Anolis sagrei: one gene and its partner. The protein of the gene in region 1 interacts with the protein of each later gene in a biochemical or structural test. Links are inferred from orthologs where the notes say so. Each region holds a gene or a part of one and is shown on either strand. Other genes may lie near its edges. The genes, in order: SNAP25 and CPLX1.

Region 1 (14,972 bases):
TTCTAAGAACCATAATTATTCATTTTTTAAATGAAATTCCTATACACATTTCAATGTGACTTTACCCTCAATCTCTTTAGATCTGATTATTTTATATAAAAAAGGAGGATAGAAGCAGAGTTTGGGAAATATACTTTTGTGAAAAACAAATCCCTGAATCCCCAGTCAACATGACCAGGGCCAACCAGGGCATTCTGGGGGTTCATCTCTTAGAAAGTAAAGTTACTCGGCCTGGCACTCTTAACCAATAAAAGTAGATATATGGGGCATAACTGGTGAGCAAACGCAGAGACAGGAATAATGCAAGTTCTTCCTATCAAATTATTAGCCTTTGTATACACAACAGAGCTAAGCTGTGTCTGTTCTTTTGAACTCATTCCCTGATTTGCTGCTACAAAAAGAAGTATTCAAATTTTGACTCGATCTTTTTTTCTTAGAATGCAGTTCTTTCAATGCACCATAGGGACCACCTTGGCTCTAATCCAGGCAGCTCCCTAAGCAATTGCTGAAGACCTGGATGTGTATAGGGAGATTTTTTTTTTTACTGTTTTCTTCTGCTTAGCAGCTCAAGCCTCCTCCTCTCATGCTTAAGTGCAAATGCAGATTCTGATTCAGAAGTAACTTGGTAGGAAAGATAGGGAAAATATAATATGCTGTGGAGGATATTTTTTTTAAAAAAAGTATTAGTCACACATTTCTTTGGGGTCATAACTGTTACATTCCTTCACAAAATAAAGCTGGCCAGTAATGTCCCAATTTCACAGAGTGAGAATAGAGGCCAGGAGGAACTCGCCAGGAATTTCCAGTAAGTCAAAGCTTTATTGAAATGCTTCAACACAAATGTCTCAGGCTGAAGGCCAATATCCCTCTATGAATAAAGAACTGGAAAGCTTGCGTCTCCACCCCCAGATGCTGCTACAGTTCCCATCATCCATCATCATTTGCCAAGCTGCAGGTAATTAGAATCAGTCACACCTAGAAGGAACATGCTCCCCAGCTACAACATTAGCAGGAAAATATTGGTTTGACCATTCCAAGGCTGTTTCTTCCATCAACATTCATTTTTGCACCAGTGTTACCCAGAGGTTTGTAACCCATGCCATCCATCTCTTGTGGAGACACATCTTTCCAAATGTAGTTTGGGCTATATTTATCTCTGGCTAGGTTCCAGTAGACTGGAGCCTTCTCCCAGGGCCATGTTTTGGAATATATCTAGACAATTTTAGTTGTTTCCAGGATCTTTGCTGTGCCATCATAGTTTCCTGTTTCAACAGTTTGCAGTGGTGCCCTGTAAATGTGAATAATCTCTCTTGTTCTGCTACCACCAGGCTCAGCAAAGATGGTAAGATTCATGGTCCAGAGTTTCCTCAATTCAGGGTTTTATCACACCAACCTGTTGTCTCACAGCAATAATAAAGCTGAAGCAAACAGGGACAATCACTTTCACACCACCTCTCCAGCAGCACTTTGGCACAGAGTAAAAGCATCACAGCTTCACCCTACTTTGGAGATGTGGATGAGGAGGAAAGCTATATCCACCTGTGCCACATGACTGTCAGTTATCAGGACAGCAGCAGAACAAGACAGTCACACCAGAATCTAAATTGAATAGTTGTGACATTGGACAAGGGTTTGCTTTCTTGGAGCTATAATATGGATTATGTGGGCAGGGTCGTGGGGGCCTCAGTAGCAGTCTCCATAACAATCAATCAAAACTTTATTTGTATCCTGTCCTCTCTCCCAGTGGGGACTCGGGGCAGCTAACAACACAAAATAAGAAACAAAGCAAATGGGCAATATAAACAATCAATCATAAATAATAGCAGTTGATGACTTTGATTCCACTGGGTTGTGAATTAAGTCTGGGTTTCTGCTTGAATTTTAAAGGAGCTAGCTAAGGTAATGAATATATAGGGTAATGTGCAGCGTATGAGCAAATCCTATAGTGTGGGTTAAAAGCTATCCCACTTACATGGAAGCCATCAGTTGTCATTGGGGATTTGGAAACAATGCTATTTGAGTGACATTTCTTTCTCTGCCAGTCCCATGTTTGCTCTCAGCCTTCTCATTTTACTGGGCAAGAGGAAGAATTCCTTCTGAGAGAGGCCCAAACCAACACCATCCATTTCAGTATGCAGCTTTTTTTTTTTTTTGGCATGGAGAAGAATAAAATTACCATTTAAAATTACAATTCTCAACTTTGTCTTTAGTATCCTTCCCTCCAGTGAGCAGTTGGGCTTTATTTCCTGGAGGATGGACTGGTTGGATCTTCTCGCAGTCCAAGGCACTCTCAGAACTTTACTCCAACACCACAGCTCAAAAACATCGATCTTCCTTCGCTCAGCCTTCCCTAAGGTCCAGCTCTCACATCCGTAGGTTACTACAGGGAATACCATGGCTTTGACTAGGCGGATCTTTGTTGCCAATGTGATGTCTCTACTCTTTACTATTTTATCGGGATTGGACATTGCTCTCCTCCCAAGAAGTAAGCGTCTTCTGATTTCCTGGCCACAGTCTGCATCTGCAGTAATCTTTGCACCTAGAAATACAAAGTCTATCACGGCCTCCACATTTTCTCCCTCTATTTTCCAGTTGTTAATCATTCTTGTTGCCATAATCTTGGTTTTTTTTATGTTTAGCTGCAGCCCAGCTTTTGTGCTTTCTTCTTTCACCTTGATTAGAAGGCTCCTCAACTCCATAGTTTTAAATAAGGAGAAGAAAAAAACATTACCACAATTATTTGTAATTACTCTGGACTTTACGGTATCTTGTTTTGTACTAAGTAGTCCAGACTTTGTGACACCACTATGTACAAGAGTGCACATTCCAGAATGTTCCCAGAAACTTTTCTTCATTCTTTCTTCCTACACTTGGCATAGTTGTGCTCTGAGGGAATCCCCCAAGATGGCTAGTTCTCAAATGCTGTCAACGCCCCCTTCCCACTACCTTCCCAGTCAAGGCCCACTTATTTTCCCTTCCCAGTTTGCTCATGATTGCAGTTTCCCAGGAGAGCCTTTGTTGCCTAGAAACAAGCCTGACATCCAAACCTCCCTCTCCCCTCCTCTCTGCCACCATCAGCCTTACTTCAGGGCCGCCCGCACACATCTGCTATACATCCTCAGTAATTTTGTGAAAGTACCAAAGTAACAAGGAGCCAGATGGAATGATACATCGAATAATATTTTCTTTCAAGACAACTGTGAACACGAAGGGATGGAGGGAAGGCCAGTACTTTGGGTGCTCATTTCTGTGGACCATCCTAGCCACACAATCCAAGCCACACAATCTTATTCATGAAGAGAGGAAGCATATGGTAGGCCCAGAAGGTTAGACAGAGATTGTTGCATTTCTGGGCTGATGGATCTGTGATGAACGGGCAGGCAGAAAGTGCCCAGAGTCCTAATATACCCATGATTTTGATTCTTGATACCTTGAGTCCCTTGAAAAGTAAAGAAAAGATAGTTTCTAGCCTTGGCTCCCCAGATGCTATCAGACCTCAACTCTCAAAACTCCCAGCCAACATGGCCAATGGCAAAGGATTCTGAGAGGTGTAGTCAAGACTGCAGATGAGTTCCATTTCAAAAATGAGAGGTTTGCTTTCAGTAGCAGGAGCCTTGCATCTCATCTCATTTCAAATACTTTTCTACAAGCTATAGCAGGCACATAACAGGCAGGCAGCCTGGAGTCTTTTCTCATTCTTCTGCCTTGCCTCTTACATTTCTAAAAGATCTTCTTTCTCCTCCTCCTCCTCTTCTTCTTCCAGTTTTAGAACATCTAAATTTAAATGAGGTTTCTGCAGGGGAACCAAGTGTCCTGGAATTTTAGCTCAAGATCGGGCACCACAGTTTTTCATGATCATGTCAAACTGAAAAAGGAAAAGCAGGAGAACTAAAGATTTCAGAAAATGGAAATCTCCATAACCTTTTGGAAAATGAATATTCATAACCATTTGGAAAAACCAGGAATCTTTTAGAAAGGCATGACCTTGTTAGAGATCATAACCTTTTTGTAAAGTATGATCTTCCTGAGAAGAGTTAAAAATGCACTTGAGTCAACCTTCCCCTTACTGGTAAATATCACTAGCATTCATGCAAAGCAATTAGGTTTCTCAGATGTTAGACTGATATATCTAGATATCTCTTTGAACTGTTAGGAACAAAGATATGCCAATGCATATATCAGAGTTTCAAAAGTATTATTTCAGCTGCCTAAACAAACATCAACTGTCTCTTAAAACATCCTGGTTTAAATCATGCTTCAAGATGCCAAAAATAAAGTAGTCTTTGTTAAAACAGCATAGTTGGTTTACTCACAAACTTCAAGTATTCAGCATATAAGTACATTGCTTATCAATCCAGTTACAGATAGGATTTGAAGTAATTTCTCTGTGCAGATAACACAGGGGATTGTTCTTGTAATCTTAACAGCTCATAGTCTAAAGCCGTGGTTCTCAATCTGTGGGTCCCCAGATGTTTTTGGCCTTCAACTTCCAGAAATCCTAACATCTGTAAACTGGCTGGGATTTCTGGGAGTTGAAGGCCAAAACATCTGGGGACTTACAGGTTGAGAACCATTGGAGCATCTCTCTAGTCTGAAAGTCTAATAGTGTGTATGCAGTCAGTTTCTACAGTCTTCCAAAAGCATATTGTTTCTACTGGCATCTGGAAATTATACAGTTAGTAAAATGGAGTTTCAGATGAACAGTCCCAGTTCTATGTTGCAGCCCTCCTACAACATAGAACTGAGGATAACTGCAAACCAATACACACATATACAATACGGTAAGCAATCTGAATTATATACTAAACAAATAACTGGTATAGGAGGCTTGTAGAAGGTTTCCCTTTCCAACAAAAGAGGAAGAGGGTCACTGTTATTTCTGCTTCCCTTCTTTATGGTCCACCTGAACTCAAGATTTACTGAGACACACATCCTGCTTCCCTGCTTTGTCAACATGGTTGTGCTATCTTTGATTTTCTTCAAGGGATTGGGCCACAGTGGTTCTTTGATGGGATATATTTCAGGATGGGGAGAGAGAAGGGAGATTCATCCTATATTGATTCCTTTACATAAAAACAAAAGTGTTTCAAGATGAAAAAATATAGTTTGTAGGAGTCATATGCATGTAGTTATTTTTCTATTAAATAGAAAAATAACTATATTTAACTTGTCCTCATGGACAACAAGTTAAACATGAGCCACCAATGTGATGCAGCAGCAAAAAAAGCCAATGGGATTTTGGCCTGCATCAATAGGAGTCTAGTGTCTAGATCCAGGTTTGAAGATGAGCAAAGTAAATAAGCTTGCCTATCTTCCAACGGACCTCATAACCTCCTAACCTCCGAGGATGCCGGTTATCAGGCCTGTAGCGGGTGTGTGTGTGTGTGTGTGTGTGTGTTAGGGGTTCAACCCCCCCCCCCCAAATTTTCAGGTTAAAAAAAACCTAGTTCACTCATGAATTTTAACTGGTTAACCAAATCCCCATGCTAAATCTATGAGATGCAAAAATTAAGAGTCCCTCCAGAACTGCAAGCACTTTCTCAAGCAAATATTGACAATTTGTTCACACTGTCATTACATGCAGCAATAGCCGATGCAGTGAAGCAACCAAGTTTGGGGGGGGGGGGGTTTGAATGCTTTCATTAAGGAGGCCAGACTTGGTGGAGGTGGTTTACAGGGGCGGAGCTGCAGGCTATTGAAGGCTGCTCTGCCCCCTGCTGTGCTCTTTGCTTAAGCGTGAGCTAGGAGGCAGGTTTCAACGCCCCCCCCCAGGCATTTAGCTGGGGGGGGGGCTTGAGGGGCTTCAGCCACCCCCCCCCCCGAAATTCTCATGGTGGTTCGCGAAAAGGCCTTACTGGTGCATTATTTAAACTGTTACGTTTATTCATATCACCATACTCAATATATCCCATATATCCAGAATCATAGAATCATAGAGTTGGATGAGGCCTCATAGAATCATAGAGTTGGATGAGGCCAAGCAGCAGGAGGAGAGAAACTGTAGGCAGGTAGGGTATTGGGGTAATGATACAAAAGGTTTGCTAGGGTAGACCCTCTTTCACTCAGACTCAGCCCCCCCCCCCGTAACCCCCCCTGAAAAAAACTCAGCCCCCCCCCCCCCCCGAATTGAAATCCTGGCTACAGGCCTGACCTCCCCTCGAAATTTTCACACACACACCCCCCCCCCCTCGAAATTTTCAACCCCTCCCTCGAAATTTTCAACCCTCCCCAAAAAACATTTCTGGCTACAGCCCTGCCTGTTATAGATGTGGGCAAAACGTCAGGAGAGGATGCTTCTGAAAGATGGCCATACATCCAGGAAAACTAACAGTAACGCAGTGATTCCAGCCATGAAAGCGTTCGACAACACAAAGTAAATAAGGCTGGTGGTTGTGGGCTGAATCTATGGCACCTCTGCATTTCTCTAAAGATATAATCAGCTCTTTGGCAACCCTGCATTATGTGCCAACGTAGATTACAAGGCAAAAAAGTAAAACCTCTCAACAACAACAAACAACCCCACATTTTAATTATTGGGGAGTCCTCATTGTCTTGTTTGACAAGCCCCCCGAGAAATGTGGCTTCTTCGGAGTAAGGAAAAGCATCCTTAAAAATAGAAAGAGCCACGTCAACAGGCCATATATGGAGTCTGCTGGAGTCTTCAGAGGAATACCCTTTTCGGACCACTGCTCTAGCGAAAACAAATCCCTACCGCAGTGCTGCTCCCGCCCCCAGCTGAAGGAAACCAAAACTTCTCATCATAACAAATACTTTTTCCCCCTTTCAAAACACCCTTCCAAACTCTGGCTTGCACGGAAGATCACACCCCCTTTCTTGGGTCCTTTAACTGCTTTTTTTTTTTACCGGATCCCTTCCTCTCTGTTTTCTTTTCTGTATAGGAGGGGGAGGGAAATGCCCGGGATTGCGGTATATTGTGCAGCAGCAGTAACAGCAGCAGCAGCATCAGCTTCTGATGAGTCAAGCTCCCCCAGACGCCTCCCTGGCGCTCCGGCTCTTCCCCCCTCCCTTCCCTTCTCCTCGTGCGCGCGCGCGCCCTCCTTTCCCTCCCCTCCTCCCCCTCCCATCCGCCCCTCAATAGATGTCTATTAAAAGCTGCTGACGTTGGGAGCGACGGCCATCTTTGATGAGGGCACAGCTCCCGTTTCATTGAAGAAGGAGACTCGGAGAGGTCAGGAGCGGCTCTTCTCCTTCTCCTTCCCCGGTTGCCAGCCAAGCCAGGCTTTGCGAGGAAGCAACGCTCCCGGAGGCCAGGTAAGGAGGGAAGGAAGCACTCCCTGGCGCCTGCCTTCTTTTCTTTCCATTGCTTTGCGGGGGAGAAAGGAGAGTATGAATCTCTTCAACCCTGATGTTTATTTCTGATTAGAGGGGGGGGGGGGGGGGGGGGGGGGGGAGGAGAAACCCTCATTAGGCCGAGAAGGGAAGGAGGAGCAGTACGAAGATGGAGAGAGAGAAAAACACTCATTTGTTTACTGTTTAGTCTGAGAAGGAGGAGCAGAAATATCTCCAATCATAATGAAAGAGAAGATGAAGGGGAGAGAAATATTAATGCCTGCCCTAGATGCAGGCAAAACGTCAGGAGAGAATGCTCCTGGAACATGACCATACAGTCCGGAAAACTCTGTGATCTGTGGTCATTCCACAGATATATAAACCCATTTTCCTACTTCCAACAGACCTCACTACCTCTGAGGATGCTTGCCATAGATGCAGGCGAAACGTCAGGAGAGAATGCTCCTGGAACATGACCATACAGTCCGGAAAACTCTGTGGTCTGTGGTCATTCCACAAATATATAAACCCATTTTCCTACTTCCAACAGCCCTCACTACCTCTGAGGATGCTTGCCATAGATGCAGGCGAAACGTCAGGAGAAAATGCCTCTAGAACATGGCCATATAGCCCGGAAAAACCTACAACAACCCAGTGATTCCGGCCATGAAAGCCTTCGACAATACATTGAACAACCTTATAATTCCGGATATGAAAGCCTTCGACAATATTCATGTATTCTTAACTTATTAATGCTCTTCTCCCAGCATTCCTGAACAGGGAAAGCAAAGGGTTTGTTTTTGTTTTGCTGGCCTCTCTCTCGCTTTCATTTCCTCTCTCGTTTTGGCGCATAGCTCTGTTTTGGCTGCCTCGTAATATGGTGGCAAAAGTTGGAAGGATGTGTGTGGGGGATATAATACCAGAGATATAGCGCGGATTTTGTTGCATAGAGCGGCCGAGGGTCTTCCGCCGCAGCTCCACTTTCAGGACCATGGACAGCAGCAGCCGCCTCCGTCGCAGGAATCCATCAGGGGCTGCGCGCGCAGCTCCCAGCTCTGATGCCGCAGCAGCAACAGCAACACAAGGGGGCTTGGGTCCAGCACCTCGGACAGCTCCCTGCCTGCATTAAGGATAAGGAGCTCAGAAGAAAACCCCGCAGACACTGCAGAGGGCTTTGGATTCAGCACCTCGGACAGCTCACCTGCCTGTATTAAGTATACAGCGTTTCCGGCTCAGAGGAAAACCCCGCACACAGTATAGAGCTTGGGTTCAGCACCTCGGACAGCTCCCCTGTCTGCATTCAGGAAGGAGCAAGGGTTTCTGGCTCTGAGACATTGTAGAGAAGGAAGGCCAATCTCTTGCCTCGATGCCTGGGGGCTACGCATAATAACAATTAATAATAATAATTAATAATGATATAAATAGTAACAACTAGTGAGAAACATCAAGCTAAATCTAAGGCTTAGCCTCCACCGCATAGACCTACTGGACCAAATCAAGCCCGCACAAGGACTGCAAAACGTTACTCATCCAATGAGTCTATTTATATTCCAGTCATTTATTACTCATTCAATGTGGCATTTAGTCAGTCATGGCTCCTTCCAAGAGGTCTGCTCTACTTGGGGAGGACAACAGTGGGATTTAGTCCCGTATTTCCAAATTCCGGGTGCGATCAAGACTGTTTACATGCCTCACATGCTTCACCCCCTTCCTTGGCCTCTTCAAAAATTCACCTCCGCATCCATCGCCATTTAGGGAAGCTGGAAAGCTCTCCCAACCGTGCCGTTGCAGTCCTGTCGCAAAACCTTCAGTTGTTGCTGAATATGAATATCTCTTTCCCTCAATCAATACTATGGACCCTTGTTTATCTAGGAAGAGATTCTTCCAATACGCAGAGGAATAACAAGCATCGTGGGGACTCTAAATAGAGAGCAGGCTGCAGGGTTCCTATTCCGCTTCCTAGTGGTTTTGAACCCTTTCTCCTCTTGCCACGGCCAGAGGGAGGGCGGCTTCATTCATGTTTCCTGCCTACTACGACATCATGTCGAGAGGCCATTCTGAAACTGGATTATGGGCAAGAGTCTTTGGGGAAGAGTAGGGAGGGGGGGGATGGAGAGAAGGAAGGAGAGGAGATGGGTGCTGGAGATGGGCTTCAAAACTCTCCCGCCCACCTCCCCAACCCACCTTTCTCTATCAGAGGGGAGGGAAGCCGAACGAGGAGGAGGAGGAAGAGGAGGACCCTGATGCTGCAGAGCTCCCTCAACCGGGTGCGTGCTATCTTATGTAACGGATTGGCAGCGGGGGGGCTCCGGCAGCATTCCTCTCTCATACACACAATCTTGCTTCAGAAAGGCAGGACATGTCTATTTTGTAAAAAATAAATAAATAGGGATAGGGAGATAAAGGTTTCCCCTTGACTGAAGGTATCTATCTATCTATCTATCTATCTATCTAAAAAGGTAAACCCCCCCTTGACTGAAGATATACTATATATCTATTTATTTATCTAGTATACCTTCAGCTCCAAGACGCACTTTCCCCCTATATCTCTAAAAATGGGGTGTATCTTGGGTATTTTTTGTGGGTGGTGCTGGTACTGAAATTGTAAGACGCCATCGATTGTAAAACGCACTCCAATTCATAAATACAGTACACACATATACATAAATATACATAGTTATACGGTATATATACTTATTATATATATACACACACAAATATGCTTATTTATATATTCATACGTACATACATATATATATATAGAGAGAGAGAGAGAGACTTATTTATATATGCATACTTATTTATATATACATATGTATACATACTTTATATATACATACATATAGAATCATAGAATCAAAGAGTTGGAAGAGACCTCATGGGCCATCCAGTCCAACCCCCTGCCAAGAAGCAATATATAATATACGTATATATACAAACTTGTACACACACATATAAACATATATATATACATACTTACTTATCTATACATATGTATACATACTTTATATATACATACATACATATATATGTATATATACAAACTTATACACACACACCTATATATATATATATACACATACATACTTATTTATCTATACATATATAGGTACATCCTTATTTATATATGCATATATACTTATATATACATATATAGATGCATCTGTATTTATATATTTACATATACACAGACATATACAGGCCCGTAGCCAGGATTTCGATTCGGGGAGGGGGGGGCTGAGTTTATTTCGCCCTCTGGGAATAGCTGCATCAAGCCCTTTCCCGACGGTTTAGATTCTGTTCTTGGATTGGTAGCATTTCTCTTTTCCAAAGTCATCTTTATTCTGAAGCAGCACCAAACGTCACCTCCAAGGCAGTCCCGTAGCCAGGATTTTGATTGGGGGGGGGGGGGGGGAGGGGGCTCAGTCTGAGTGAAAGAGGGTCTACCCTAGCAAACCTTTTGTATCGTTACCCCAATACCCCCATGCATATGGAATATATTGAATATAGTAATCAGATCATGATATGAATAAACATATCAGTTTAAATAATGCACCAGTAAGGTCTTTTTGTGAACCACCATGAGAATTTCGGGGGGGGGGGGGGGCTGAAGCCCCTCAAGCCCCCCCCCCCCCAACCTGGCTACATGCCCCTGGATATATATATATATACACATACATACATATACATATACACACATGCATGCATACATAGCTTTTTAAAAATATATTGTATCATATATAGAAACATACAATCTTCAAAATAAACAGTCAAAATACCAGTATTTTCCCCAATTCCACCACCACCAAATCCCCATCCCCCCAGGAACGTTAATTACTCTTGCTATACGTATTACATGCATACATAGCGTCATTATCTAATATCTATTTACATAATGACGCCAAGAATCAGGGCATCCATTAAAGCCCCATTTAGTTTGGTTGAGTCAAAAGGAAAGATGCCAGAGTATCGGGGATTTTAGCTCTTTCCATCTTTCTCTCTCTCTCTGCAAGAGGAAGTGGTGTTGGTGTTGGGGGGGGGGGGGGGGTATTTCCAAAACAAACATGCCATGGCGGCTCTCTGGGAACCAAGGCGCCAAGAGAGATGGATGTTTCCATCTAGCGCCTCCGCCTGTTCTGATTTTGGAAGGCTGATCGATTGGAGGGAGGGGGGGGGGGAGACTGAGAACCCCTCCCTGGAGGCGCCAGAGTCTCCCTAGATCTAGATGTACGTCAAACACGCCCCCTTGCGACCCGCCCCCCTTGATCAGCTTCTCTTCTCGGTCACGTTTCTCCAGCCGCTCTTGGCGTCCATCTGCGGCATTCAAGGCGGGGCGGGAGGAGGAAGAGGAAGCACGTTCTTCGGACGGAGGTCCTCCTCACTAACACCCTTCCCTCTCCCCAATTCTCAATGGCGCACCTTTGGGCGCTGTAGAAGGAATGGTAGCAATGCTAGGGAATCTTCAAAGAGTTGTGGTTTTACAAGATCACCCCAGATTCCATAGCACGGAGCCATCTTTCTTTCCTCCGCACGGTTTGGCTCCTCTGCGCTCGAGCCGGGCTTGTGATTCAAACCTGCGACAGCGGCCCGGCCCCACGTGACCAGCGCAGCACGCGCCTTCGAAGAAGAAGCAGCCCAACATAGCCTCTCGCTCTCTTTTCTCGCTCTCCCCCCTCCGCTTTGGAATGGTTTGGCCCGCCCCCAGGCAAAGCGGGGAGGGAGAGGCCACGCGGGAGAGGCGCGCGGGGGAGGAGGACGCCCCTCCAAGCTTCATTCCTGGCGTTCTTGGGGTGCCTCGTGACTCCAAAAGAAATTAGGGGGGGGGGAGGAAAATTGAAACATAGTGGGTTTGGGAAATGTATGGCAACTCAATGAGAATCTCTCTGCGGGGCCAAAGCGGGATTCCACAAGGGCTCCTCCGCCTGCCAGAAAATGCAGCAATTGGATTAAGCCAAGGGTCGGTTGCGTGAGCAGCCGGGAACCTGTTCCAAGAAGGCAATAATGACTCAGATGGCGCGTGGCACCAAGGAGGGAGGAGGAGGAGGAAGAGGAGGAGGAGACGCCAGCCTTCGTCTCCCAAGAATCAGAGAATCTTCAGAGTTGGAAGAAAGTGACCCCAAAAGCCATCCAGCCCAACCCCTTCTTGCCATGTAGGAAAAGCACCCCTGCCAGGCTTTGAAGCTGCAAGGCTATTCAATGCTGATCAAGGTAGCCAATTGCAACACTCACACTCGCCTCAAACAGACAAAAGTTCTTTCTCCCACCCTGGACACTCCACAGATATATAAACTCCACTTGCCCAGTTTCCAACTGACCTAACAACCTTTGAGACAGGCATATAGCTCAAGCGCCCCCCCCCCCCCCGGGAAATTCTCATGGTGGTCTGCGAAAAGACCTTACTGGTACATTATTTAAACTGTTATGTTCATTCATATCATGATCTGATCACCATGCTCAATATATCCCATATGCATGGAGGAAAGTTCTGAGAGTGCCTTGGACTGCGAGAAGATCCAACCAGTCCATCCTCCAGGAAATAAAGCCTGACTGCTCACTGGAGGGAAGGATACTAGAGACAAAGTTGAAGTACTTTGGCCACATCATGAGGAGACAGCAAAGCCTAGAGAAGACAATGATGCTGGCGAAAGTGGAAGGTAAAAGGAAGAGGGGCTGACCAAGGGCAAGATGGATGGATGGCATCCTTGAAGTGACTGGACTGACCTTGAAGGAGCTGGGGGTGGTGATGGCCGACAAGGAGCTCTGGCGTGGGCTGGTCCATGAGGTCACAAAGAGTCTGAGACGACTGAACGAATGAACAACAACAACAATGGGGGTATTGGGGTAACGATACAAAAGGTTTGCTAGGGTAGACCCTCTTTCACTCAGATTCACCCCCCCCCCCCCGCCCCGAATCAAACTCAGCCCTCAAAATCCTGGCTATGGGCCTACTTTGAGATGTGGGTGAAATGCTTCTGGAACATTGGCCAAAAAACTCACAGCAACTCATCCAGCCTCTGCTTGAAAACCTCCAGAGAAGGAGGCTCAACCAAGTCAACATGACCTACAGTGTGGAATACCTCGTTCTTAATGAGACGTGCTGTGTTGTCACAGGATGGCTATGCCCCACACCACTGGAGAAATTATACTGTTTAGCTGGTATTGCACCACCTGACATCCAGCGGGAAGTAGCAGCCAATAGGCATGGTTAGGTTCGGTGGGAATCTTCATAATTTGGAATGAATTCGGAAATATTTGCTTTTTGAAGAGATTTTGAAGTTTTTAAGGAAACCAGAAGTCCCTTTGCCCTTCTGAAGCTTTTCCCACCATTTCTGTTAGGAAGCAGTAAATGAGTCAGAAATGGTTCAGTTTCCCCCCGCTTCTGGTCTCAAGCATGGGAAGCATTTTAAAACAAACTGGATGAATTTCCTGCCTTTTCTCTCCCCTCGTTTCTGGATTGGAGCCTGGGAAGCATTTTAATCCAGACTTTATGAATTTCCTCCCTTTGCTTCGTGCCTCCCCCCTTCCGCTTCTGGAGTAAAACAACTACTTTCAAAGTAAAGACCACCCAATGAAACAGGAAATAGCACTTTCAAACCATTAAGGAAAGATTCGGAAGTCTCAGAAGTTTGGAAAAGTTTTGAACATTTTTTTCTGTGAAAATTGGAATTGACTTCCAAATCGAACCACCAGCGCCCCCTACATCTGAAACAAGTTTTGAACCATTTTTTTTAATCAAACAAGCCTAGCAGCCAATAATGAAAGGACTAAGGCAGTGACATCTCCGGCCCATCCCCTGTTCAGATATCAGCCAACATACCAATGCCTTAAATCAAGAAACAGCTTCCCAAGATCGACAGAGATACTCACTGGAACACCTCAGCAAGTGGGAGTCCAAAAGTGGCAGGTTAAAACTCAGCATGTTAATTAGTGGCAGAGACCGGATGAGAAACTCCCCCCTGGGCACACAGAAGATTGGGCAACCTTGAAGGTGCTGTACAGCCTGCACTCTGGCACCACGAGATCTTAAGAAACAGCTACAAAGTGGAGTCTACGACATGCAAGTATGAAGAAAAGCAAATTACAGACCACCTACTACAATGCAGACCAAGCCCTGTCACCTGCACAATGGAGGACCTGCTCACAGTGACACCAGAGGCAATCCAAGTGGCCAGCTACTGGTCAAAGGACATTTAGCATAATGCCAAGTTTTTAAACTTTGTTTGTGTTTTTAAATGCATATTAACTGTACCCTCAATTCACTTCAGACACAATAAATAAATAAACCCTGGAGAAATGAAAGGATCTTTGAAGTAGACAAAACCAGACAATCTCCCATTGGTTTCTTGGTTCAGCGGATATCATTCCCAGGAGAAGAAAATGTCAGCCAAGTGGGCTCACAGTTCAGTGTATGTTTCTATTGAACACAATGCCACTGAAGCTAGAAGCATATTTCCTCAATAGGAATGCAGATGGACAGGAGCTTTTCAAAATAATAATACTGGTGCTTTCAATTATCCTTTTCTAAGGATGTATGAAGTGTGTTTTCAATTTACAGTGGGTCCTTGGTATCCACTGGGGTTTGGTTCCAGGAGCCTCTGTGGACACCAACACCTGTTGTTGTTGTTGTTGTTGTTGTTGTTGTTATTATTATTATGTTTATTTATATCCTGCTTTTTCTCTTC
Region 2 (15,482 bases), on another chromosome or scaffold:
TTGTTCAATGTGATAGAACTCTAGGATTGTAATTTTCTGGAATATTATTTACCCTTCTCTATCAGAGAGCTTTGGTCCCAAAACAATCTTCAAATCCCAGGATTCCATAGAATGGAGCCATGACAATTAGTGGTGGCCAAGTGCTATAATTCTGTAGTGTGGGTTGTCTACCCTATCTCTTTGTTTCACACTTTCTGCCATTACTTTTCCTGTCTCCCATTCCTGCATTATTTCCTTAAGGTCTAAATCTATTGATAGTAGAGGGCTTCCAAAATTGACTGGAAGCCAGATGAAAATAGGATGTGGAGCATAAGCAGCTCTATGTGGCAGTCATGATGATCACGATGGTTTTATTAATTGGTATCCTACTTTTTCCCAATAATGGGACTTGAGATAGCTTACATATTACATGTACCATGTTTTTAATAGGATACTCTAATGTTCATGTTTTATTGATTTTGTTATGTTTTTATCATCCAATAGTTTTTATTGTATTGAAATGGTATTTTATGGTATTGGCAATGGTATTTTATGTGAACTGCCCCGAGTTGCCTGTGGGCTGAGAGGGACGGTATATAAATATAGTAAATAAATAAATAAATAAATAAATAAATACAATTTGAAACCATACAAAGTATGTGAGTGTCTGTACACACAGAGAGACACACATACATACACAGACACAATTAACATATAGTTGAAACCATTTAAAAGTCATGAAAAGACAATACAGTTAGCCTTCCATATCCACTAGTTCTGCATCCATAGATTCAACCCATCATGGTTTGAACAGATTCAGGAATCATGGAATTGCAAAATATCTGTCCCCTTCCAGTAACTCTAACTCAAGGTTGGGAATTATGATCAAATTACATCTTCACTAAAGTCACCTCACTGATTTCTAATTAGTTTCCAAGCAAAGTACAAAGTATTGGCATTTCTCTTAAAAGACCTACATAGTTTGAATCCAGGTTACCTTTGGGATCTTCTCCTCCCACATAATCCCTTCCATATACTTTTTCCAGTCAGTCATGACTAGTCTGTCTGATGATGATCACCCACAGGACTTTTTCTCCAGTTACCCCTAGATTGTGGAATGACCTGCCAGAAGAACTTTGACCATTAAACAAGCTGAGTGAATTTAAAACATCAATAAAGACCAGTCTCTTCTGGCAGGCCTATTTAGCTGATTTTTTAAAATATGATTTTTAAACTATGAATTTTGAATTATGTACTGGCTGTTTTACTATGTGTTGAGTTTTGTGTTACTTTACATTGTTGTTTCAACTTGGTTGTGTTTTTTTTAACTTATATACAATATGTTGCATGGGAAGAGACAGATAGAAATCATTGTTGTCCTCCTCCTCCTCCTCCTCATCTCTCAATACTCAGTACCCAAGGAGATGCTGCATCCAGCTCTTCCTCTCTCCTCCTAAGAATTTGAAAAGAGGGAGAATAAATTAATTCTGTTATCTCCATTTTCCTCACGTATTTTTAATATCTTGTGAACCTATGACATGGCTTAGCTAAACCAAAGGCCACATTTTTGACTCTGCTAATTAGTTCCATGTCTGATTTTTCTTGCTTTGCAGCAAGCAACGCTAAGCTAATTAGAAACACACAAGGACAGAGCAATCCTGTCAGGGAAGTAGCTGAGGGCCTGCTTTTCCCATGCTTTTTTAGTTTGTGCCAACAGATTGGAAGCTTCATGGTTATAAAAGTGTCTCCCCCTTTTATTTATAAGGCCATGCCCAGCCATTTTCTTCCTTTATGAACACTTTCCTCACATTGATTCCAGGGCAGGTATATGTTTTCCTTTGAGTCCTATGAATCTATTTCAATTTCCAGAATATTTACAGAGTGCCTTCTTTTGAGAGGTTCTCTGATATCAAATTTCTAATGGGAGTAGAGCATTGACTGCCAAGTATTTCATAGCCTCCCGAAAGAGTCTAGCTCCTCCCTGCCAGACACTTTACTTCTCTTGAGTCTGCATTTTACTCTTGAGTCTCTCTGTGCTTGAATCTGTCTAAAGCAGTGGTTCCCAACTCATGGTCTGTGGACCACCAGTTTCCCCCAAGAACGAAAATATGGTCCATGGTCTCACCGCTACTACACTGTTGCAAAGAGAACGACTGATCTTGTGAACCCATCTTATAGTGCCGAGGCAACAGGGATGGGAGAGGCTGACTACCCATGAAAGGCATAATAACAAGCCTCCTGACTGCTTCTCCTCCTCCTCCCTCACCCTGAGTGGAACCATTCCATGTGGCACTTGAAGGCAGAGGAGACTTGGTGTCTTCGTTTTTAAGCCTGTTCCTGGGATTATTTGGGGAGCTTATTCAGAAAATTTCATTGGATAGATCACATCATCTCTGGATTATTAAATATGGAGTGAGAAGATGGCGACTGCTTGATGGCATATATTTTGTATCAGAAACTAGAGCTGACGTGGTCTATTCAATGCCATTTTCTGAATCACCACCCTAAATAACCAAACTGAATCTAAAGTTGACCAAAAACTGATTTGTAACCCTTTTGTAATAATTTTGGAGAATAGTCCCTGGCCAAGTGGTCGCTGGCCAAAAAAAACGTTGGGAACCACTGGTCTAAAGAGATCTGCTGGATCCACTTCTCAGGTATAGGGCCATTGGATGAGATGGGAGTTGTCCTGTTGCTGAACTCTACTCTCCAAAAAGATTCAGAACCTGAAGAGCTACCTGTAAGCTGGGGCATATGTGTTAAGAAAAGGCATGGTACAACTTACCAGGCAAGGGACATTGTGGCGCGGGGCATCCTCCACCGCCATTTTTGCCTGAGGGGACTTCTTCCTCCCAGAAGCCACCTCGTATGGCCGGGTGGCCAATTGGCCAGCTGGTCATGCCTCACTGTGGGAAAGGCTGGAGCTGGCCTCTCCCTCCTATGGGGCAGCCTATTTAAGGCTGCCCCAAGCTCCCCAGCAGGCACTGTACCTGCATCAGCTGATCCACCCCACCCACCCTGCATGCTGTTTGCATTTTTTGTCTACAGTTAGCTTGCTTTGTTAGCTTATTTATTTATTTTATTTATTTATTTGCTATATTTATATACCGCCGTTTCTCAGCCTAGCCGGCGACTCAACGCGGTTTACAACATAATATAACAATCAACAGTATACAGTTAAAAGCATAAAAAACATAAAAAACATAAAAACACAATTCATACATCAATACCAATCCAGTTCGACTCTTAACTAAAAACGTGATCCAGTTCGTCATCCATGTTGCCAGTCCTTTAGTCAGTTACCATTTGTTGCATTGGGTTAACCAAATGCCTGCTTAAACATCCAGGTCTTCAATCTTCTTCGGAATATCATCAATGAAGGGGCTGATCTTACCTCCAAGGGCAGGGTGTTCCATAGCCGCGGGGCCACCACAGAAAAGGCCCTGTCTCTCGTACCCGCCAGCCGCACCTGTGAAGCAGGCGGGATAGAGAGCAGGGCCTCCCCAGAAGATCTTAGGGTCCTGGCGGGCTGATAGGCCGAGATACGTTCGGATAGGTAAGTTGGGCCAGAACCGTTTAGGGCTTTAAAGGCCAACGCCAGCACTTTGAATTGAGCCCGGTAGCAGATCGGCAGCCAGTGGAGCTGGTACAGCAGAGGAGTTGTATGCTCCCTGCGCTCTGCTCCCGTTAGTATCATGGCTGCCGAACGTTGGACTAGTTGGAGCTTCCGGGCCGTCTTCAAAGGCAACCCCACGTAGAGAGCGTTGCAGTAGTCCAAACGGGATGTAACCAGAGCGTGGACTACCGTGGCCAGAGCTTGTCATGGTTACCTGTTCACAGTTGCTTGTTTAGGTGCTACCCATCACAACTCCTGTTTGCATGGGCCCAGGATCTGGCTTGGTATCCCCCTCTAGCGGAAGGGGGGAACGCCTGGTAGTCTCAGGGGTGTCGAGTTTACATTGGCCCAGTATTGTGCTGGTGGCACCCTGGTGGTATCGGACAGCAGTGGGCTGCCCAATCCTGATCCAGGGCCCATGCATGGCTGCCAACCTTTGTTCCTGTTATCAATAAATGAGTTGTGGCCATTGTTAATCCCAACAACCTTGTGTTAGTGGTTTTTCTTGGGTCAGCTGTGGGAGGTGTATCGCCCATGCACACACAATGGTTGTAAAATCTGAGGTCCTTTCACATTGCAGAGTTATAGCACTATGGTTTCACTTTAACTTTCAGGGCTGACCCCCATGGACTCTTGAAATATGTAGTTTAGTTAGAAGTACAAGGGGAGTCTGAAAATTCTACATTTCTTTCTCTCTGAACTGCTAATGTCCAGGTTTCTGTAGGACCTGATGAAATATATCAACACACAATATATCCAAGGGCATTGTGCAAGGAATGTATACATCTCACATAGCATATATTTACTGATTCTCATTTTGTACTATCCATGGTGCACTTCTCAAGGGCACAAGGTTGTGCTGTACCATTGTGTTGGTTGGTTTGTTTATTGCCGATTTTACTGGTAGCCACTTATCTGGCAAGAGGTCAGTTCACATGAGCCTCTTAACAATGGGAGACTGGGCTCACTGGAATTTGCAGATCTCCTTTGGCACACAGAAAAACTTGTACTTTCTTTCTGTTTGTATGAGAGAAAGAGCAACCTTGCATGACTTGGCAGTTCTGAGGTTAGACTGCTCACAGGCATAGTTCTGCTCCATGAGCTGGTTATTTGCAACAGTTAGCAGGCAGTGCTAATGTCTGCCTTGGCTCTAAGCCACTGTATTAGTTTATTCCAGCTGGCTGAAATCCAGTACAGAGTTCAATGTGTGGTTTAAGCCCACTGAAAATCAACTGTGGTCACTCTGAGAGGCATTTTTAGTCTAGGCTGGGGTACAAAGGAGACTGAAAAACAGAAGCTGCACTTCAGTAACATCTGAGCCCATGCCTCTTTTGGATTAGGAAGTAATTACTGGCAACGCAGGTCCATTGTCATCTTTAAAAATATATACCTTCAGTAAATGAATGGACGGATCCCATCTATTGCAAATCTATATAAATAAAAATGTCATGTTTGTTTGTGGGATTAACATAACTCAAAAACCACTGGACAAATTGACACCAAATTTGGACACAAGACACCTCTCTGGCCAGCAAGTGACCATCACTCATAAAAACACTGGAAAACACAGCAGAAGAGACTTTAAAAGCCAGAAAAACAAAAAAATACATTACAACACATGCTCAAAACCACATATGTATGCAAACACACATATTTACACATATACACAAATATATACAGAAATACATACACACATATATGCACACACAAAACAAATACACAGAAAGGGGGAAGGGAGGAAGGAAGGAAGGAAGGAAGGAAGGAAGGAGAAAAAGAGGGAGAGAAAGAGGGAAAGAAGGAAAGAAAGAAAGGTAGAGAAGGAAGGTGAGACGGAAATAAAAAAGTGAAAGAGGGAAGGAAGGAGAGAAGGAATGATAGAGAGAAAGAGGGAGGGAAGGAAGGAAGGAAGGAAGGAAAGAGACAAGGAAGGATGGAACCAAAGAGCAAAGGAAGTTAGAAAAGAAACAGGTAGAGAAGGAAGAAAGAAAAAGGGAAAGAAAAAGAGGGAAGAAAGGAAAGAGGGAGGGAGGGAATGAAGGAGAGAAAGAGTGAGGGAAGGTTGGCCACAGCAACGCATGGGGGGTACAGCTAGTATTTAATATAATTCAAAATAGGTAACAGCTTCCCAGTGGTTTCCTTTATAGAACAATCTGCTGCAGGCAGGAATAGAAAACATGCATAATCATATACAGAAAATGTGGAAACATGAAACTCAAGGCCCCTTTTGGAAATGGTAAAGGTAAAAGTCAAGGTTTTCCTCTGTCATTAAGTCCAGTCGTGACTGATTCTGGGGGTTGGTGCTCATCTCCATTTCTAAACCAAAGAGCCAGCATTGTCTGTAGACACCTCCAAGATCATGTGGCCAGCTTGACTGCATGGAGCGCCGTTACCTTCCCACCGGAGCAGTACCTATTGATCTACTCACATTTGCACCTTTTCAAACTGCATAAACTGCATATTCCAGTTCAAAGCAGATTGAACCAAACTTGGCACACAGGTTGGCATAAACTGGGGCTAACAGCGGGAACCCACACTGATCCCCGAATTCAAACCTGCGACCTTTGGATCAACACATTTAGCACCTTGGTATTTTAACCCACTGCACCACTGGACAGGGCTTATTTCTTCTCAATATTCTGGCCTTACCTCTCCTGTGCCTGGGCACCCTCAAAAATGTACACTTGAAGGGAAGGGAAGATTGTGAAATCTCTTATCCTCTGAATCTTGCCTTCATTCTCAGCCCATCATTGTACTATATCCTCTTGTAAGACTCAAAAACCTAAATCTAATTATTTCACACAGCCCAACAAAAAAAATTCTTGGTCTCTTGGTTTTTAGTCCGGTTCCTGGAGTTATTAGGGGCACTGATTCAGAAAATTGCATTGAATAGACTGCATCAGCTCTAGTTTCGTAGATACAGTTATAATGGTTTTCTATGGGTGAGCAGATGGCAACTGATAGATGCCAAATGTCTTGTATCTCAAAACCTAAGACTGATAAGGAAAACTGGTGCCATTCTTGGAATCAGCAGGTCATATATACCTTGAAACAGATTTAATATTTGAGGCATCAAAATGTGTGTCGGTCAGTGATTTCTAACTAGACTAGATCCAGTGAATCAACCAGAACTTGGAAAGTCAGTATTTACATATGTTCCTTTGATCCAATAGGTCTAGTCTAAATAAGAGCAACTGTTGAATGGAGACCTTTGCTCCCTGTTCTTTCCAAGGAATGTGTGTTTCTTTTCCAGTATTTTTTGTTTACATTTTTTGTCTGCAAATTTCACAATCATTGGGTTGCTGTGAAATTTCTGGGCTGTATGGCCATGTTCCAGAAGCATTCTCTCCTGACGTTTCACCCACGTCTGTTGGAAACTAAGCAAGTGGGGTTTATATATCTATGGAATGTACAAGGAGGAAGAAAGAACTCTTGTCTGTTTGAAGCAGGTGTAAATGTTGCAGTTGACTACCTTGATTAGCATTGAATAGCCTTGCAGCTTCAAAGCCTGGCTGCTTTCTGCCTGGGGGAATCTTTTTTGGGAGGTGTTAGCTGGCCCTGATTGTCATAATCATCATTTCTCTTGAAGTGATGCATTTTATCCAGTTGCATTTTTGATAGACAACCTGAATAATAATAATAATAATAATAATAATAATAATAATAATAAATATCACTCAGTTATGGTTGTGGCCCACCTGAGCATCAAATGCATAATCTAGGTTGGATTACTGCAATGCACTCTACGTAGGGTTTCCCTTGAAGACGGCCCGGAAACTACAGTTGGTCCAGAGATCTGTAACCAGACTACTCACAAGAGCTGGTTACAGAGAGCGGTCAACCCTCCTGTTTGAACAGCTCCAATGGCTTATGATAAGTTTCCAGTCCCAATTCAAGGTGCAGGTCATCACCTATAAAACCCTAAATGGTTCGGGACCTGCTTATCTTCGTGACCGCATCTTCCCCTATAAACAAGTGCGTACCTTGAGATTTTCTGGGAGGGCACTGCTCTCTCCCCTCCTGCTGTCACATGCACGGTTGATGGGGACGAGGGAGAGAACCTTCTTGGTGGTGGCCCCCGGCTCTGGAACTCTGTCCCTAGGGAGATCAGACAGGCTCCCACCTTGTCCTCCTTTCATAGTCAACTGAAAACCTGGATATTCCAGTGCGCTTTTGACTAAGCAGCTCACCAGTAACTTTCTTGTCCCTACTTGAAGTTCCGCACTTTACACCAGCCCGCATTTTACACTGGCATACATCCTACCTCTACATGTGTTATGACAGTATTTCCTGCCCATTTTACTGTATTGTTGCACTTTCCTGCAGTCCTGTAAAAATGTATTGCACTCATTGAATCTGTACCTCAGCTATGTTTCTTTCAGCCGTATTGTTTTTATATTGATTTTAATTGTGTTGTTATTTGTTTTATCTGATGTTTTAATTGGTCCAAGTGTTTTACATGTGTGCTTTAATTGTAATCTTGGGCGTGTCCCTTGTAAGCCGCCCCGAGTCCCCTATGGGAGATGGATGGTGGGAGTATAAAAACAAAGTTATTATTATACAAGTGTCAGCACTGAATCTAGGAGGACCCCCAAGCTGTGGACCTGTGTCTTCAGAGGGAGTCCGACCCCGTCCGGGAGCTGCTGAGCTTGTTGACCGAAAGGTCGCAGGTTCGATTCCGGGGAGCGACGTGAGCTTCCGCTGTCAGCCCTAGCTTCTGCCAACCTAGCAGTTCGAAAACATGCAAATGTGAATAGATCAGTAGGTACTGCTCTGCTGGGAAGGCAACGGTGCTCCATGCAGTCATGCTGGCCACATGACCTTGGAGGTGTCTATGGAGAACGCCGGCTCTTCGGCGTAGAAATGGAGATGAGCACCACTGCCCAGAGTCAGACATGACTGGGCTTAATGTCAGGCGACAACATTTACCTTTACCTTTACAGACCCCGTCAAGCACAGGTTGCCACCCAATACCCCGGTCGGACCCACTGCGCCACCAGGGTGCCCAAGCTAGTATACAAATAAATTATAATTGACCCTTTACATCCAGGGATTCTCTGTCCATGGGTTCAACGGCCCTTTGAGAGATTTATTTATTTATCGTGTCATCAGCAACCATACCATTGTGTTACAATTCTAACAGAACAAAACAAATACACAGATTAAAAGGAAAAAGGAAAAAAAACACACAGATTTTGCAAACTTGGTAGTTGGTTAAATGTCCTTTGACCAGTATCTGGCCACTTGGAGTGCCTCTGGTGTTGCCGCAAGAAGGTCCTCCATTGTGCATGTGGCTGGGCTCAGGTTGCATTACAGCAGGTGGTCTGTGGTTTGCTCTTCTCCGCACTCGCATGTCGAGGATTCCACTTTGTGGCCCCATTTCTCAAGGTTGGCTCTGCATCTCGTGGTGCCAGAGCACAGTCTGTTCAGCGCCTTCCAAGTCGCCCAGTCTTCTGTGTGCCCAGGGGGGAGTCTCTCATCTGGTATCACCCATGGATTGAAGTGCTGGGTTTGGGCCTGCCACTTTTGGACTCTCGCTTGCTGGGGTGTTCCAGCGAGTGTCTCTGTAGATCTAAGAAAACTATGTCTTGATTTAAGTCGTTGACGTGCTGGCTGATACCCAAACGGGATGAGCTGGAGATGTCTCTGCCTTGGTCCTTTGAGAGATGATGTGGCCCCCCATGAAAATGAATTTGACAGTCCTGTAGAATTTGATTCCACTTTAACTGGGCCATATAGCCCGAAAATCCCTCTTTGAAGGTGAGAGGGTCGGTATATAGAACCTCGAAATAAATAAATAAATAAATAACTACCATGGCTCTGGCATCACGGGAGTTGTAGTTTGACAAAGGTCTTGAGCCTGCTCTGCCAAAGAGGCCAGGTGGAGGGGTGTCAATCGGTTTCAATTCTGCAGTGTAGATGCACAAGAGCTCCAGCTTTCCTGAGCGAAGCCAGCGCCGGGAGCAGCCAGCGGGCCTGACGACTGAGTAAGCGCGCCTGAGAGCGGGTAGTCTTCTCCCCCTTCCCTCCCTCCCTCCCTCCCCAGGGTGGGTTTTGGGGCGTCCTCCCTCCTCTTCCTTCCCCCCTTTGACCTTGGTTGTAACGTGTTCCCGGGGAGCCGCGTCCTCACGTGACCTCCGCCTCCTGCAACCCCCCCCCCTCTTCCTCCTTCCTTCTTCCCGTTCGGATTTAACCGGGGAGCTCCGGACTGCACCCCCACCCCTTCCCCCCTTCCTTCCCTCCTTCCTTCCTTCCCCTTTTCTTGCAGCCCGTCACGCAAGGACTGAGCGCTTTGGGGCCTCTTTGGGGAGGCGGTATCAGCTGACTGGGTCTCTGCAGTGGAGGAGGAGGGTGAAGGAGAAGAAGGAGGAGGGATGGAGAGAGAGCCCTATTGCAGCATGTTAAAAAAATGAGGAGAAGGGAGGGATGTGAAGGACGAAAGGTGTCTCCCTCCCCTCCCCGCGTCACCCCTCCCTTTCTCTTCTAGACCCCTTCCCCCCTCTTTCTCGCCTGCCTCTTGGAGGCTCGGCATCCCCATTCAGCCATACTGTTGGGTTCACCTTCAGACGCCCCTCGGAGAGAAAGGAGGGGAGAGCCGGCAGAGTTGTGTGGTTGGAGAGGAGCGAAAATCCCTCCATTGTGGATGCCAAAGGAGAGTGCCTCCCTCCTCCCTGCCCCCTAAACTGGCCCCTAAAAGCCTTACATTTCCGGAAATGGGTCTGCGGCGCCTCGAGAAGACAGGAGAAACTGCTGACTTGGCTCCCTCCCCAAGTCACACCGTTCTAGGTGTTGTCGAAATGTGTTGTCATGTCCGGAATCACTGGGTTGCGGTGTGTTTTCCGGGCTGCCTTGCCATGTTCCAGAAGCATTCTCTCCTGACGTTTCGCCCACGTCTATGGCAGGCATCCTCAGAGGTTGTGAGGTCTGTTGGAAACTAGGCAAGTGGGGTTTATATTTCTGTGGTGGGAGAAAGAACTCTTGTCTGCTTGAGGCAAGTGTGAATGTTGCAACTGGCCACCTTGATTAGCATTGAATGGCTTTTTTTTTGTCATGCCAGGAGTGACTTGAGAAACTGCAAGTCACTTCTGGTGTGAGAGAATTGGCCGTCTGCAAGGATGTTGCCCAGGGGATGCCCAGATAATTTGATGTTTTTATCATCCTTGTGGGAGGCTTCTCTCATGTCCCCGCATGAGGAGCTGGAGCTGATAGAGGGAGCTCATCCGCCTCTCCCCAGATTCGAACCTTCGACCTGTCGGTCTTCAGACCTGCAAGCACAGAGGTTTAACCCACTATGCTATTAGCATTGCATGGCCTTGCAGTTTAAAAGCCTGGCTGCTTCCTGCCTGGGGGAATCCTTCTGCAAGACTAAGACCAAGCTATGAGAGTAAAGATCCACCCAGAGGAAAAATGTTCTTACCCAACATTCTGCCTTGGTTAGACCACACCTGGAATATTGTGTCCAATTCTGGGCATCACAATTGAAGAGAGATATTGACAAGCTGGAATGTGTCCAGAGGAGGGCGACTAAAATGATCAAGGGTCTGGAGAACAAGCCCTATGAGAAGCGGCTCAAAGAGCTGGGCATGTTTAGCCTGAAGAAGAGAAGGCTGAGAGAAGACATTATAACCATGTATAAGTATGTGAGAGGAAGTCATAGGGAGGAGGGAGCGAACTTGTTTTCTGGTGCCCTGGAGACTAGAACGTGGAACAATGGCTTCAAACTACAAGAAAGGAGATTCCCTCTGAACCTTAGGAAGAACTTCCTGACTGTGAGAGTTGTTCAGCAGTGGAACTCTCTGCCCTGGAGTGTGGTAGAGGCTTCTTCTTTGGAAGCTTTTAAACAGAGGCTGGATGGCCATCTGTCGGGGGTGCTTTGAATGCAATTTTGCTGCTTCTTGGCAGGGGGTTGGACTGGATGGCCCATGAGGTCTCTTCCAACTCTATGATTCTATGACATCAAGAGAACCACAGGGAAGCTGATGAAGAAATAGAACCTACAAACAATCTACAGATCAATTAAGAAAATCCAACAAATGCTACATTCAAGGAAGGACAAGAGGGATCCTTTCACCTCTGCAGGAGTCTGCAGCTGTGGACAAGTCTACATAGGGACCACCAAACACAGCATTGCCCAAACACGAACCCAGGAACATGAAAGGCACTGCAGACTACTTCAACCAGAGAAGTCAGCCATAGCAGAGCACCTGATGAACCAGCCTGGACACAGCATATTATCTGAGGACACAGAAATGCTGAACCACTCAAACAAACACCATGTCAGACTACATAGAGAAGCCATTGAAATCCACAAGCATGTGGACCATTTCAACAGAAAGGAGAAAACCAAGAAAATGAACAAAATCTGGCTACCAGTATATAAAAAAAAGTCTAAAATCAGGACAGTAAATAAAGGACAACATTCAGAAAATAGGGGAATTCCAGACAGGAAACAATCAGGGCCAGCTAGGCCCATAGACAGGATTTCGATTGGGGGTGGTGGTGAGTTTTTTCCGGGGGGGGGGGGGTTCGGGGGGCCCTGAGTTTCGGGGGGGGGGGGCTGAGTGAGTGAAAGAGGGTCTACTCTAGCAAACCTTTTGTATCATTACCCCAATACCCCCATGCATATGGGATATATTGAATATGGTGATCAGATCATGATATGAATAAACATAACAGTCTAAATAATGCACCAGTAAGGCCTTTTCGCGAGAATTTCATGAGAATTTCATGAGAATTTCGGGGGGGGGGGGGCTGAAGCCCCTCAAGCCCCTCCTTGGCTACATGCCTGGGGCCAGCTAATGCCTCCCAACAAAGCAGGAGGCAGCCAGGTTTTGAAGCTGCAAGGCCGTTCAATGCTAATCAAGGTGGCCAATTGTAACATTCACACTTGCCTCAAACATACAAGAGTTCTTTCCCCCACCCTGGATATTCCACAGATACACAAGCCTCACTTGCCTAGTTTCCAACAGATCCCTCACCATCTGAGGATGCCTGCCAGAGATGTGGACGAAACGTCAGGCAGGAGGGAATGCTTCTGGAATATGGAATACAGTCCGGAAAACTCACAGCAACTCATATAACGTTCTTTTCCCCCACCGGAAAGGCTCCACGAGTGTTGTTGTTGTTGTGGGGCGCCTCCCAGCTGTTTCCAAGGGATGGAGTCCCTCTCGCGGGGTTTCCCGGGGCTGAGAGTGTGTGACTGGCTCAAGGTCACTCAGAGGGTTTCCCTTGCCCTAGTGGGGACTCGAACCGGTGTCTCTAGAGCGGGAGCCCAACCCTCCAGTAACAGCAAAACATAGAGATACATCTCTCTTACCGCATTTTTCAACCTGTTCCAACTGCTTAGGGGCAGGTCAGTGTTTTTGTTAAGGCGCCCAGACGTCTGTGTGTTGGGGATCCCATTGCGTTAGAGCCCTCCCCCCTTTGGGGATCCCTCAATCCGCCCCACAATTGCAGGTGTGCGCCCAATAACTTCCTGCGGCAGAAGTCGCGGTTAAGGGAGGGGAAGAAGAGGAAGAGGAGGAGGAAGAAGAAAGAGCAGGGCGAGAAATGCCGACCCAGCAGCACCGCTAGGAGGAGGAGGAAGAGAAGGAGGAGGAAGGCGCCCGCGTCGCGTGTAAGGCGGGAAGCGTGTCAGTGGGATGGTCCCGGAAATCCCGTGATAAAAAGAGGGAGCCGTGAAAGTCAAGGCGCTGCCGCCGCGCGTCCTTGCTTCCTCCCTCGCTTTGCTGCCTCATCCTGGTCCTGTCCGGAAAAGAAAGGGAAGAGAGAACTTCTTCCTGGCCCTGCCCGGAAAGCCCACGCCTTGTCACGCATGGACCCGGCCGATCGCGGGAGAAAGAGGACCCACTAAAGGAAGAAACGCGGAGAGAGAGAGAGATCCAAGGCGCCCAACGAGGTATCACTCTCGGTCTTTGCCGCCTATTCTTATTGCTGGGCTGGGAGCTCTCCAACGTGCTGAAAGCTCCCGCATTCGCTTGGCTCAGGGAAGTGTCCTTGGTGCTGAACGCTCCCATTGCTCCCCGCTGAGAGCAAAGCAGGAGGAGGTTGTGAGTGCGGGTAGTAGCCTAAAGGAAGGGGGAAACGACCCAACGGCACAGCACCCCCCTCCTACCCCATACGCTCTCTGAGTTTGGATGTATGGGTCAAGCACCCAATGTCCCCTCCCAAAAGCTGGAAGGATTGGCAGGAAACAGAGACTGCAAAAGCTTTGGGGTACCTCCCTGCAATGGTGCAAAATCCAACGCCTGGGGAAGCCCCCTCTCTCTCCCCCTCCTTATTGGATCCTCATTGGCATTTGAACCATGTCTCCGGCTCTTTTTGGTGCAGGCGACGATGCATCAACTTGTCACAGGAGTGCGAGAGCTCTGTTTCTTTCAAGGACAGAAGTTTGGAAAGGGAGAAAGGGCCAATCGATGCAGCATTGTAGCATATCCTCTCTAGATTTCATTTTTTCTTTTCTCTATCTAACTTAATGAATGCTCCCCCTCTCCTTGTGGGGTTAGTAAAGCAAAGCTTAGGAACCCCCTATGGCTCAGTGGATTAAATCACTAAACTGCTAAGCTTGTTGACCAAAAGGTCACAGGTTTGAATTCGGGGAGCAGTGTGAGCTTCTGCTGTTACCCCAGCTTCTGCCAACCTAGCAGTTCAAAAATGTGAGTAGATCAATAGGTACCACTCCGGTGGGTCATGCTGGCCACATGTCCCTGGCGGTGTCTACAGACAACACTGGCTTAGAAATGGAGATGACAAACAATGTGAAAATTGCTTCTTGTACTGTATCTTAAAAGAGAAGACCTGGGGGAATGGGCCATTTTTGAGGTGAAGAATCAGGACTTAAAAGCCAAGTGTCACATATGTAACACTTCCCCAGAGTTGGACATGACTGGACTTAATGTCGGGGAAAAACCTTTATCTTTACCTTTACCTTTACCTTTATCTAAAAACTCAAAATTTTATTTTGTTGGCTCTGCCGAGTCATGAAAACTGCCTGTTCTTGCTTGGCGGCAGCACAACCAAACTGTAATCGCTTGTATTCACTTCTGGAGTTCCAGTCCTGTCCAAAAAATGCATCAGAAATGCTGAGTAATATGTACAATGTTGCATGTTTGTGTAGAGGAAGTGGACAGGTTTTGCTGTCCAGTTAACCACCTTGGGGTTGTTGCGCTAACTTAAAAATCTGTGCCGCAGTTTCCTCCCGTCTCAGTAGTGAGAATCATAGTGCCTCATTGCTCAAGTAAAGTTCCCAGTGACTTTTAGCAGAATTGATCTCAGCTTCTTCTCCCCAAAAGGAAGAATATATTTGTCTAGCATTAGGATTTTTTCCCCAGTATGTGATATTGATGTAACTCCACTAGCCAATTTGCATTAAATCTCTCCCTCCCTGCCTCCCTCCTTGCCCTCCCCGCTCTCTGTCATAATGTGGTGTTTGATATTTAACTCAATTTGACTGGAGTGGCTCTCCTGGTCAATGATGCAGACATGAGGTTGTCCATTAAGAGTGTCTGGCAGAGAAGGCTGCTGCTGAGTTTTCAAGAAGCACAAGGGCTTCAACCTTCAAATGCCCCCCAAGAGCTGCTTCTGCTCTTATTAGCTAGAGCTCCCCATCCCACACACACATTTCTTTTCGAAAGGATTGCTGAAGTTGCAAATGTTTAACTCTTTATCAGTTGTAAAATGCCATGTAAACTGAACGTGTTCTGGGTTCAACTAGAGAGGTCAAAATGAAATGAACAGGTGTTGGGAAAGTTTAATTAACTATCTCCATGGACAAATCTGTTTACACAGCATATAAAAATCCAAGCGGGCTATTTATTTATTTATTTTTCGGAGCTTTGCTGAGCTTGGTATTCTAACAAGAAGATTTGGAATGAGTAGTATTTAATTCCAG

Evidence for each region.
Region 2: the proteins of SNAP25 (region 1) and CPLX1 are reported together in a solved structure, tested with the Homo sapiens proteins (2 studies listed by BioGRID, with this or other methods). The link is inferred for Anolis sagrei from reciprocal best matches to the Homo sapiens genes SNAP25 and CPLX1.

The regions. Positions count from the first base shown.
Region 1 is NC_090021.1:145,055,208-145,070,179, reverse strand, and holds the start of SNAP25 (synaptosomal-associated protein 25), read left to right. Parts: upstream 1-7,118; 5' UTR 7,119-7,272; intron 7,273-14,972.
Region 2 is NC_090022.1:154,134,979-154,150,460, forward strand, and holds the start of CPLX1 (complexin-1), read left to right. Parts: upstream 1-9,481; 5' UTR 9,482-9,579; intron 9,580-12,908; exon of another isoform or gene 12,909-13,039; intron 13,040-13,258; exon of another isoform or gene 13,259-13,490; intron 13,491-15,482. UniProt on the Homo sapiens protein: Positively regulates a late step in exocytosis of various cytoplasmic vesicles, such as synaptic vesicles and other secretory vesicles.